3 linked regions of the Callithrix jacchus genome follow. The protein of the gene in region 2 interacts with the protein of the main gene of each other region in a biochemical or structural test. Links are inferred from orthologs where the notes say so. Each region holds a gene or a part of one and is shown on either strand. Other genes may lie near its edges. The genes, in order: PEX7, PEX5 and AGXT.

What was found.
Region 1: the proteins of PEX5 (region 2) and PEX7 form a complex in vitro, tested with the Homo sapiens proteins (3 studies listed by BioGRID). The link is inferred for Callithrix jacchus from reciprocal best matches to the Homo sapiens genes PEX5 and PEX7.
Region 3: the proteins of PEX5 (region 2) and AGXT are reported together in a solved structure, tested with the Homo sapiens proteins (2 studies listed by BioGRID and IntAct, with this or other methods). The link is inferred for Callithrix jacchus from reciprocal best matches to the Homo sapiens genes PEX5 and AGXT.

The regions. Positions count from the first base shown.
Region 1 is NC_133505.1:143,635,928-143,639,577, reverse strand, and holds part of PEX7 (peroxisomal biogenesis factor 7), read right to left. Parts: intron 2,912-3,650; coding exon 2,761-2,911; intron 1-2,760. UniProt on the Homo sapiens protein: Receptor required for the peroxisomal import of proteins containing a C-terminal PTS2-type peroxisomal targeting signal. Specifically binds to cargo proteins containing a PTS2 peroxisomal targeting signal in the cytosol.
Region 2 is NC_133510.1:21,501,677-21,504,967, reverse strand, and holds the end of PEX5 (peroxisomal biogenesis factor 5), read right to left. Parts: intron 3,065-3,291; coding exon 2,899-3,064; intron 2,430-2,898; coding exon 2,272-2,429; intron 2,094-2,271; coding exon 1,892-2,093; 3' UTR 638-1,891; downstream 1-637.
Region 3 is NC_133507.1:162,140,721-162,144,370, reverse strand, and holds part of AGXT (alanine--glyoxylate aminotransferase), read right to left. Parts: intron 2,570-3,650; coding exon 2,499-2,569; intron 1,605-2,498; coding exon 1,520-1,604; intron 509-1,519; coding exon 413-508; intron 1-412. UniProt on the Homo sapiens protein: Peroxisomal aminotransferase that catalyzes the transamination of glyoxylate to glycine and contributes to the glyoxylate detoxification.

The sequences.
Region 1 (3,650 bases), on a different chromosome or scaffold from region 2:
AACACTAAGACGTGGCTGAGAACAATGGATAGCCCCTTTAGGTAATATTATTAGAACTAGGCGCTCAAGATTATGGTGGTAAAATCTTACAAAGCTTAGCCCTTCATCACATTTCTGGAATAAATTAGGTATACTACATTGAAAGGAACATTGAAAAACAGGATTATCAAAGGAGGTTACCAGGAGGATAAAAGATGTAGAGATCATGCCATCTGAGGACAGGACATGAAATGGCAAGTGCAGTCTGGAAGAGGCACGATGGCTATTTTCAAGAGGTTTCCTGGACAAGAGGGCTGGACTTAGTCTTACCATTTCAAAGAAAGGCACTAAGAGCAACAATTGGTTGCTAGAGAAGGTAGATCTGGGCTTACAAGAATTTCTTAATCATGAGAACAATTTAAAAGTCAAATAAGTAATATCAAGATAAAGTGAAATTCACTTTCACTGAGATGAAGTAAAGACTGAGTGACCAGCCATCTAGGACATCCTAGAACAGTATTTCCCAGAGAGTAGTTGCACAAGAGATTATTTTAACTGGTACATACATTTATTTTATTCATTACTAATTGATTTTAATGTACATTAAAAACAAATAAATGTACATACTAAAGTAACCATCAACCCCATTGTTTCATGAATATTACTGTTTTAGGATAAATGAAGCAACAACTTTAGTTGATTGAAAGAAAAACATTAAGTCAATATATTGAATTTAACTTAATTAGCTATATTATTTTATGATGTTAGTTACCATCCTTGAATTTATACACATAAGTCATAAAAGGCACCAAAGACTTAAGAAAAAGGAAAAAAACTTCTGAGAAGAAAATATTTTTTTAAAAAAGAAAGAAGAAAAAGAAAAACATTAAATTAATTATAATATAAGTGATATAAAAAGATATCAAAAATCACAAAAACTAGCCTGGGCAACACAGCGAAACTTCATCTCTCCAAAAAAAAAAAAAAACCACACACACACACACACAAAAACACAGGCGGGATCACTTGAGCCCAGGAGTTCAAGACCAGCCTGACCAACATGGTGAAACCCCATCTCTACTGAAAATACAAAAATTAGCAGGGCATGGTGGCACATATCTGTAATTCCAGCTACTCAGGTGGCTAAGACATGAGAACGGCTTGAGCCTGGGAGTCATGAATTTAGAGCCCTCATGAATGAGATTAGTGCTCTTATAAAAGGGATTTCCAAAACCTCTCTCGTCCTCTTTCCACCACCTGCAAATACAATGAAAAGGAGGTGGAGGTTGCAGGGAACCAAGATCGCACCACTGCACTCCAGCCTGAGCAACAGAGCGAGACCCCGACTAAAATAAAACAAAACAAAACAAAAAAATTCACCCAGGTTCCACAAAAGTATCTGAATTTTGGACATACTACTCTGTAAAGATTCGTGCATGGATCATCCTGAAACTAAAATTTCTCCTTTATCAAAATTGTCTTAATAGTCAGTAATTCCCTGAAAACATGGTGATTCACAACTACATTTATTCAAATAGCTATCACAATCAAATTACAAACTGGCTGGGCACGGTGGCTCACACCTCTAATCCCAGCACTTTGGGAGGCCAAGGCGGGTGGATCATGAGGTCAGAAGTTTGAGACCACCCTGGTCAATATAGTAAAACCCTGTCTCTACTAAAAATACAGCCTGAGTGACAGAGCAAGACTCCATCTCAAAAAAATTTAAAAAATAGCCAGGTGTTGGTGGTGCTTGCCTGTAGTCCCAGCAACTTGGGAGGCTAAGCCAGAAGAATTGCTTGAACCCGGGAGGTAGAAGCTGTAGTGAGCTGAGATTGCGCCACTGCACTCCAACCTGGGCGAAAGAGTGAGACTCAATCTCAAAAATAAAAATAAATAAAATAAAAATAAAAATAGAAACTGAAATGTCAATATTTCAATAACAATTTTAGAAATCTTGATTGTCAATACCTACAGCTATAAAACATCTGGATCCCTCACATAACTAATCTTTTACCACAAAAGACTGATATTCTTGCATCTAATAAGCATTTATTGAGGGCCTTCTTGGACCAGGCACTGTGGTGGACAAAAATTTGAAAGTAAATTAGCAAGTTTTCATTTGAAGGACGTACTGCCACCTTAAGGAAAATCTTAAAACATTTAAGGTAAAAACACAAAAAAGAGGATGTCTTCATTACTATCTTCACTGAAAATATATATGTATGTTAGTACAACTGAAACTATTTTCTATGCTATACATACACACACACACACACACACACACACAAAATCTAGACACATGAACCAGATGTAGATATAAATGATCAAAGTTCTGCCTCATACTCAGTATTTTATGCTCTTGCTCCAATATATTCTGAAACTCCTCAAGAATCTCACTGAAGCCCCAAAGGCAATCTTGTGATGTCTCTGTGAAAAGTCCACCTACCTCTATCTTAAAGCACCCTGTGGCAAGCACATTCTTAGAGCACAAAGAAAGTGATGGGCCTCTCGGGAGGAAATGAACCCAGAGCACACTGCTGGAGGCGTTTTTTTCTGCCTAATGAGAAGACTGACCTTTTCTTTTCTTTCTCAGCTCCTTACGCCAAGAGGTACTTTATGTTTGAATAATCAAATAATAAGTGACATCTAGTGTGTCTAAGAAATACTAAAGTTTAAACTTGTCCCTGGGAGACATTTCTCCATGTGTGCATCCCCAAATGGATTTCAACCAAAGTCGAAGAAAGAAAAATAATCAGCCCAGAAAGATTCCCCACCTACCTCCTGAGTGTGTTCCTTATAGACCTGCAGTGGCCCCGCAGCTCTGGCTGTGTCCCAGAGCTGTAGCGAGCCATCGCCACTGCAGGTGACGAGGACATGTTCATTGTTCTCACTCCAGGTCACATCGAACAAACCATCACTCCAGTCAAAGCTATACCAGGAAAAAGCAAACAAACAAACAAACAACACTTATACAGGCAGCTACACACACAAAAAATAATAATTACAATTATGGCTTTTTTCCTTAAAATTCATCACATATTTCAATAGATATATCTCATGTAATCTTCACAACTATGGGAATTAAATAGAGCAGGTACTTGATAAATATGGCAACAGATTCAGAAAGGCTAAAAAAAAAAGTCCATAGGAATGTCATAATCCAAAAATGTAATGTTGCAAAGTATACTACTCCACATTTGTTATAAGTTTTATAATTTATGAGTGGACACTAAGAGATAGGCTTCAGATTTGTTTTGTTTTGTTTTTTATTTAAGAGAAGGAGTCTTGCTCTGTCACCCAGGCTGGAGTGTAGGGGCCCAATGAGAGCTCATTGTAGCCTTGAACTGGACTCAAGCAATCCTCCCACTTCAGCCTCCCAAGTAGCTGGGACTACAGAGGTAGACCATTGGGGCACAGCCAATTAAAAAAAAAAAAAATTTTAGGCCAGGCCCAGTGGCTCATGCATGTAATACCAGCACTTTCGGAGGCCAAGGCAGGCAGATCACCTGAGGTCAGGAGTTCGAGACCAGCCTGGCCAAAATGGCAAAACCCTGTCTCTACTAAAAACTAAAAAATTAGCCAGGTATGGTGGCAGGCACCTGTATGTAATCCCAGTTACTTAGGAGGCTGAGGAAAGAGAATCACTTTGAACCCAGGAGACAGAGACT
Region 2 (3,291 bases):
GGCATGGTGGCACATGCCTGTAATCCCAACTACCTGGGAGGCTAAGGCAGGAGAATCACTTGAACCCAAGAGGTGGAGGTTGCAGTGGGCCGAGATTGCGCCATTGCACTCCAGCCTAGGCAACAAGAGCAAAACTCCATCTCAAGAAAAAAAAGATTTTTTTTCTCTTTCTAATGTGGCCATAGACATCTATCTCCAAGTATAAATATCTGTGCATATTTTAAAATGTTTCCTCAGGACTAATACCCATCTTGATATGGCACTTGATACAGTTCCTGACAAAAGCAGGCAGAGCCAGATAAAAACCTTTAGAAACCCTAAGCATCAAAAAACTATCAAAATCCTTCCATGTAAGTCTTAATACAAAACAACCTAACAATTATATGGCACTGCACGCTTTCCTTTGTAGTAGTAACAGGAGTAAAAATTCATGATTATCAGAAATCTGTTTCTCCTGCTAGCCCAGAAGCTCCCCAAGCACAGGGACCCTGTCCCCTGTGCTCTATCATTCCTAGAGGGATGAGCGGGTCACCAATGCACCAACGAGAATTTGAAAGACAAAAACTGTTGAATCAGACTCCTCCAAACACGAACGCACCTCCTGCCACCCCAACTTCATGACCAGCAGCAGAACTCATACCCACATCAGTTCCATTTATTCTTTGTACAAATATTTTACAGTTTTATTTTTAAATCATTTACACATATTCATACAAAGAAAAATAAATTTCAGAATGGAATCTTGGGACCATGGTAGTTTAAAAAAAAAGTCTCTGATCATTAGCTACTGAAGACAAGGCAAGAGGCTTAGCAGTCATTATCTCCCCAAGCAGGGGACAATTGAGAAGAATCCAAGCTGCTCCCTCATCTTCCTTTAATCTTTACCTTCCGGAGACAAGATGGGGGAAAGGGATTTTCCAATGCTCTTCCCTAGAAACATTTCAAGAAGTATAGCAAAGGCTTATGGTAACACTGAACCTACTTGCTAGAAATCTGCAAGATTGCAATTTCTGAACCAACTTTCTAGAAGAGTTAACTCAATTCCCATTCACAGGTGCTTCTAAGAGGACGAGGGTTTGCTGCATTCACCACACCCCCTTCTCACTTGCTCTGTCCTCCCAATGCTCCAGAACAGAGCCTAGATATCATCTAATCTAGCGCCTCCCTGCTCCCACCCAGCCTCCTTTCACAAGTGAACCTTCCTCCAACCCCACACAGCCAGACACTCTGTAGCAACTGGCCCTGGCAGCTCCTGAGGACCACTGTGATGATGACACAGGATTACTGCATCAGCATCGTGCTCACAGGGAATCAGAGCTCAGCCAGGAGAGGTCCAAGAATAACAGAACTATGAACACTCCTACCAAAAATCAGCTCTGCTCAGCCAAATCAACAATTCAACCAAACAGAAAACTCCTAGCACGTCCCACCCCAGACCATCATCATTAGATGCGCACAGCAAATGAACCTCCTACTTACACTGCCCAAGGGAGCTGGACTATTATCAATTCCCAGTAAAAGGGAGGGAAAGGTGAGACATTACAAATGTGGTAGACCCTATCAGAAACAGCAGCTGATGACAAGTTACCCTAAATCATTGGGTCCTACCCAAAACTCAGCACCAAGAAAAGGCATGATGAGCAGAGAGATCTGTAGCTGGATGTACAGCCCTTGAATTACCAAGGGACTCAGAGATAATGCAGCTCATTTTCCCACAATTATGTAGGAACTAGAACACAGACTACCCACCCCTACGTTGAGGCAGTTCCTGAAAGGCCGTACCGCTTATGGTCATCAGCCCACCCCCTTGGTAGGCCCATTTGGGGAGAAGGAATCACATCCAGAGCAGGGACCCTTCCAGTGGACACTCACAGGGCAGCCCATCCCACTGTCACTGGGGCAGGCCAAACATAGTTAGGAGAGTGGGCAGATCCCGGGCATCAGCTGCACCATAGGCATCGCTCTGGCCTAACATAGACAATGCCAAACGCAGGGTGCTCCAGATGTTCTCCGACATGGCGCCTCCTTCACCCCGAGGGCCCCGGCTTTTCCTCTGCATGTTCAGGGCCTCCAGAAAGTGCTCCACAGCCTCCCTATAAGGAAGAAGAGGAATGAGAGCTGGTACTGAAGAACAATGGAAGGAAGCAGGTCAGCTAGCAGCAGGAGAGAGAGAAAGCTGGGCTGGTTAGCCACAGGATCTGAGAATGAGGAGCTAGGGCCACAGGCAAGGAGAAAATGTTCATTCATTCATTGCTCAGTAGATACTCTCACCGGTGAGCGCCAAGGTTGATGCAGCTGATGCCCAGGTTATAGCGGGACCGGATATAGCCAGGCTGAAGCTCGAGGGCCCGGCGGTATGCAGCTACTGCTTCTTCACTCTGGTTTCCATTGGCCAAGGTGGCCCCTAGCTTATTCCACAGCAAATAGTCCTGAGATAGGGATGCAGAAGGGATAGGAACAGCTCAACTCAGATCAAATTCTGCCCATTACTCTCACTGCTTCACTACTCTGTTTAGCTAACATGTTTCATCCCATTCCATTCTTAACAGTTCACTGTGAGTTGCTACAATGTAATCCCTCTCACCCTATCCAGATGACCCTAGACTCCCACCCTTGTTTTCTCAATCCTCCCAAAGCAGTCAGTACATGGAACACTGGAACGAAATACCCCATGACTCCAAAAGTCTGAACAAATTATTCTCTTTTGTGGCAGGGGGCAGGGTCTTGCTATGTTGCCCAGACTGGATTTGAACTCCCGGGCTCAAGTGATCCTCCTACTTCAGCATCCCAAGTAGCTGGGACTACAGGCATGCACCATGACACACCCAGCTTCCCAATAAATGATTCTTCAATGAGGTACAGAATCATGTCCCATTTCCATTCCTCCCCTAGGCTCACATTGGGACGAACACTGAGGGCAGCTGTGAAGCAGTCCACGGCCTTGTCATACTCCCCACTCAGGTTGAAAAGGACTCCCAAGCCACACTGCACATCAGGGTCAATGGAGGTAGGGTCCAGTCGCACAGCTGCCAGGAAGAGCTCTTTCACTTCAAGAAACAGGGAGCTGGATGCAAAGGAAAAGAAACACAAAAAAAGTAGGTAGATAAATGTCTATGTTTCCATTCCTCCAAAATTAATTCCTTCACTAGTCAATCATATCCACAAGATTCATCAAGCTATCAGTCATCCCTTCTACTCTCAAAGTTCAATGTAAGAACCTGTTTTTCTGTTTCATCCTGGTACTGAACTGTAGAATGCAGACCTCCTTCAGATTGATCCTAGGTTTCCCAG
Region 3 (3,650 bases), on a different chromosome or scaffold from region 2:
GCCCACCGGGCTAGGGCACCATTCCTGATGCCTTGTCCTTGTGTGTAGCATAAGGGGCCTTGGGTTTATGGCCAAGGTCGTCTTTTGAGAGGGAGTAAACTGAGGCCTGGGAGTGGGGAGATATGGCAGGGTCAGGTCAACAGTGCCCGAGGGTGCGCTGGGACTTCTGGGGAGAACAGTGTTTTCGGAAGGGTCTGGGGGCCACACACCTGCCCAGAGCCTTGGGCCGGGGAATGGGGGAACCTTGGGTGGGGTATTTGGTAGCCTGGTGCAGGTGAATTCTGGGGCTCTAGTTGGGGTTCATGGGGCAGGAAGGTGGGGGGCTTGGAGAATCCCCGAGTGCAGAGAGAGGTCGGCCCCCACCTCTCAGCCACGCCCAGCACCCCGCCTTCCCGTCCCCACTGGGCCTCACATCCTGGGCTGGCCGTCACAGCCCCAGAGGTTGGCCAGGTACTTGACGTCCAGGTAGAAAGAGGACGGCTTTGTCTTGCGGGAGTAGATCTTGTTCCTGGGGAGGAAGGAGCCGCCTGAGCCCCGGCCTCTCAGTTTGGGGTGAAGGCCAGGCGGTCTTGTCAGCCGTCCTGTTTCACAGGAGTGAGACGTGGCAGGGCTCCCAGGAGGGCCTGCCCAGCTGCATTTGTGCTCAGGGGCCAGTGTGGGACCAGGCTGGCCGCGGGACCCTCAGCTGTCCAGTCCTGCTGGCCCTCGGGCCCAGCCTGCACCTCTGCCCACATGGGTGTGACCCCGCCAGGGGGCACCTGAGGCTCCCTCTACTCTGTGCACCCCTTTCTCTCCCCCAGCCCCTCCCACGGGGTCAGCCTTCATTTCCCTCATCACCCAAAGGTGACTGCTCTCAGGCCCCCAGGCCAGGCTTGGAACTTGAAATGTGTCTGTCTCTACAACTCCAGGTCGACCAGCCAGCCTGGGCCTCTCCTCAGGCTCCTGAACACACCCAGCTGCCCCCTTGGCCCTCCCTGTGGTCCAGCGGGCACCTCGGACCTCCCCTTCCAACACCGAATTCCTGACATCACCCCAAAGTCCTCTCTGTTCTGGGGACCGGCACCTCCTGTTGCCAGGCTGCAGCTGGATGAGAACTGCCTTCGAGGCCTGGCCCCCTTCCCCCACCCCCTGCCCGGCCTGGCTCAGCATCTGGACACTAGCATGGGAGGTGAGATGAGGATGGCAGGGGACACTGTGTGTGGCCCATGTGTCCCTTGGGGCAACCCCTGAAAACTGAGCCAGGGTGGAGGCTGTGTGGGGCGCTGGGCCACAGGCCCCCAGTCCTTTCCGGACCACTCCTTAGTGTGAAGCTGGGAACTGCCGGAGTGCCAGACTCTGCACCCTGCACCACCCCTGGTCCTCCCCTCATCCGGCCTCCCCACTCCCCGTGAATGCAGAGCCTGTGGCCTCCCAGAACTGGGGAGCCCTTCCTGCCTGGTTCCAGCCCCTCCCGCCTCGGGCCCCCTGAGCTCCCTGCAAGCGCAGCCCTGCATGGGGTGAGGGGCTGTGGGTCACTCACTTGGCAGTGTCACTGAAGGAGAGTAACGAGGTCCCTGGAGGTGCGTTCAGAACCTTCTGGGAACCCGAGTACAAGATGTCAATGCCTGTAGGAGGGAGGTTCGCTCGGGACAGGGACCCTGTCCCATGGCAGGCCAGTCCAGCAGGGTGCCGGCCTCGCTAACAGGCGGGAGGGCTACGACCCCACCAAGAATCCGTGCACGATGGTGGGGAGACGCAGAAGGGAGTCCTGGGTTCCAATCTCAACACTGCTGAAGGGCAGCCATGACCTCGGCCCTGAGCCTTTCAGCGCCGCTTCTCCCTCCACTGTGCTCGTCCCCAGGGACAGCCCTGCCTCCCCCGCACTGCACCCCTGGGCTCCTCCCCAGGTCCCTGCTTTCAGTAGTAGTGTGAGGGTCAGCCCAGAAATCCCTTCCTCCCTGCCTGAAAACTCCCAAATCAGGAGGAGCTCTGTGGAAACAGACAGGCTCTGTGGAGTGGGCCGGGGCAGCTCGGTGGTGTGGGGTGCAGGCTCTCCCCAGAGAGCGGCTGGGCACGGGAGGCCCCTCGGTCCCTCGGCCAGCCTGGCTGAGGTTCCCTGCAAGGTGACCCTGACAGAGGTGCTCACTGCTTTGGACAGCCTGGCAGGGTTTGGGGTGGATGAGAAACGGAGCCTCTGGGGGTTGGGCAGAGGGGTCTCCTAGGCCTGATTGGCTGGAGCCCTGCCCCTTGCTCTTCCCACCGCCCCCACTACAGCTCTGGGGCCTCTCAAATGTCCCCCACCAGAAGCTGCCCCTCCCGCCAGCCCCCATGCCTGGATCTGACAGCTAAGTGGAAACATGGTGGTGCCAGGCAGTTTCTGGAGCCGTTCTTGCCCCAGTAAGCAGCGAGTGTCCCCCAGGCCAGGTGGAGATGGGGCGGAATCCTCACTCCAGCCAGGCTTCCTGCATGTGGAGCCTGAGGCGGCTCAAGCAGGGTAGGCCCCCGGGGCACAGCCTTACCTTGCTGGTCCATGTACAGAGGAGCCCCGCCCAGGGATGCCACCGAGTCCACCAGGAGCAGGCACTTGTACCTAGAGGGGTGGGGACAAAACAGAGGGCCCAGGTGAAGCGGGGGGCCTCTGGAGGGCTCGGGCCCCAGCCTGGATGGGGTTTCTGGAGGTAGCTCCAGAGCCTTAGGCTGGCAAGGAAGGGGCTGCCTCCCGCCGCCACCCAGGAGTTGGCAGCTGCCTTCTCCTGCCTTTGTCAGGGTCCACTGGGACCTGCGGCTCTTCCTCTCCCACCCTGAGCATCGGTGCAGAGGGAGCTGGGGATCAAGGGAGCGTCATGGCCCTTGAAGGCCCCAGCTGCAGGGCCCCGTACTGCTGCTGAAGAGGTCAGCTGGGCAGTCTGGGGTCCCCAGGCATGGCAGGCAGCTGAGGGCCTGTGTGGACCCCAGGATCCGGGGTGGCACTAGGCTGGGCCACTCTCTGCCGACAGCTGCTGGCCAGAGCCAGGGCCGGGCGGGGCCAGCAGCACTCTCGCCCTCCTCCACCTACATGTTTTCTTGTCAAGAAAAAAAAGACACAGAAAGTATCTCACGCTGGCTGCAGCTGGGGAGCCTTGGGTGTCGCTGCACCCGCCCCGGGTTGTTTGCGAGCTTTATTCACGGACACGGCCAGGCCACCAGCTGTCCGGACTGGGACCTGGCCGTGGAGTTCCTCTCCTCTGTCCTGTGCTCAGCCCTGCAACGGAACTGCTGGGTACCAAGGGGCTCTGTACCCATTTCCCAGGTTATCCCATCTGACTCCATTCAAGGCCCAGCCCTGTGCACTCCCGTGTGGGGTAGGGAGGCTAGGGGAGGGAAATGGAGGGCTTCGGGCAGCTTTAGTGCCCTGGCAATCTTGGGGCAGGCCCTGGCAGGATATGGAAGTCTGCAACAAGCCCTCTCCAGCCATGGGGACAGAGGTCAGTGGGCACTGTGAGGGTGCCCGGTCGGAGAGCACCAGAGCCTGCCCCTGGACCTGGGCTCATTTTTAGACTCAGCCCAGAGCAAAGAGGACCTGGGAGGTGCCTGCACCCAACACTGTGCGACAGAGGCTGGGGTGGGGACCCGGGCAGAGGGACCAGTGCCCACCCCTCCCCACAGCCTGGCTCTGAGCTGGGCTCCAGCCC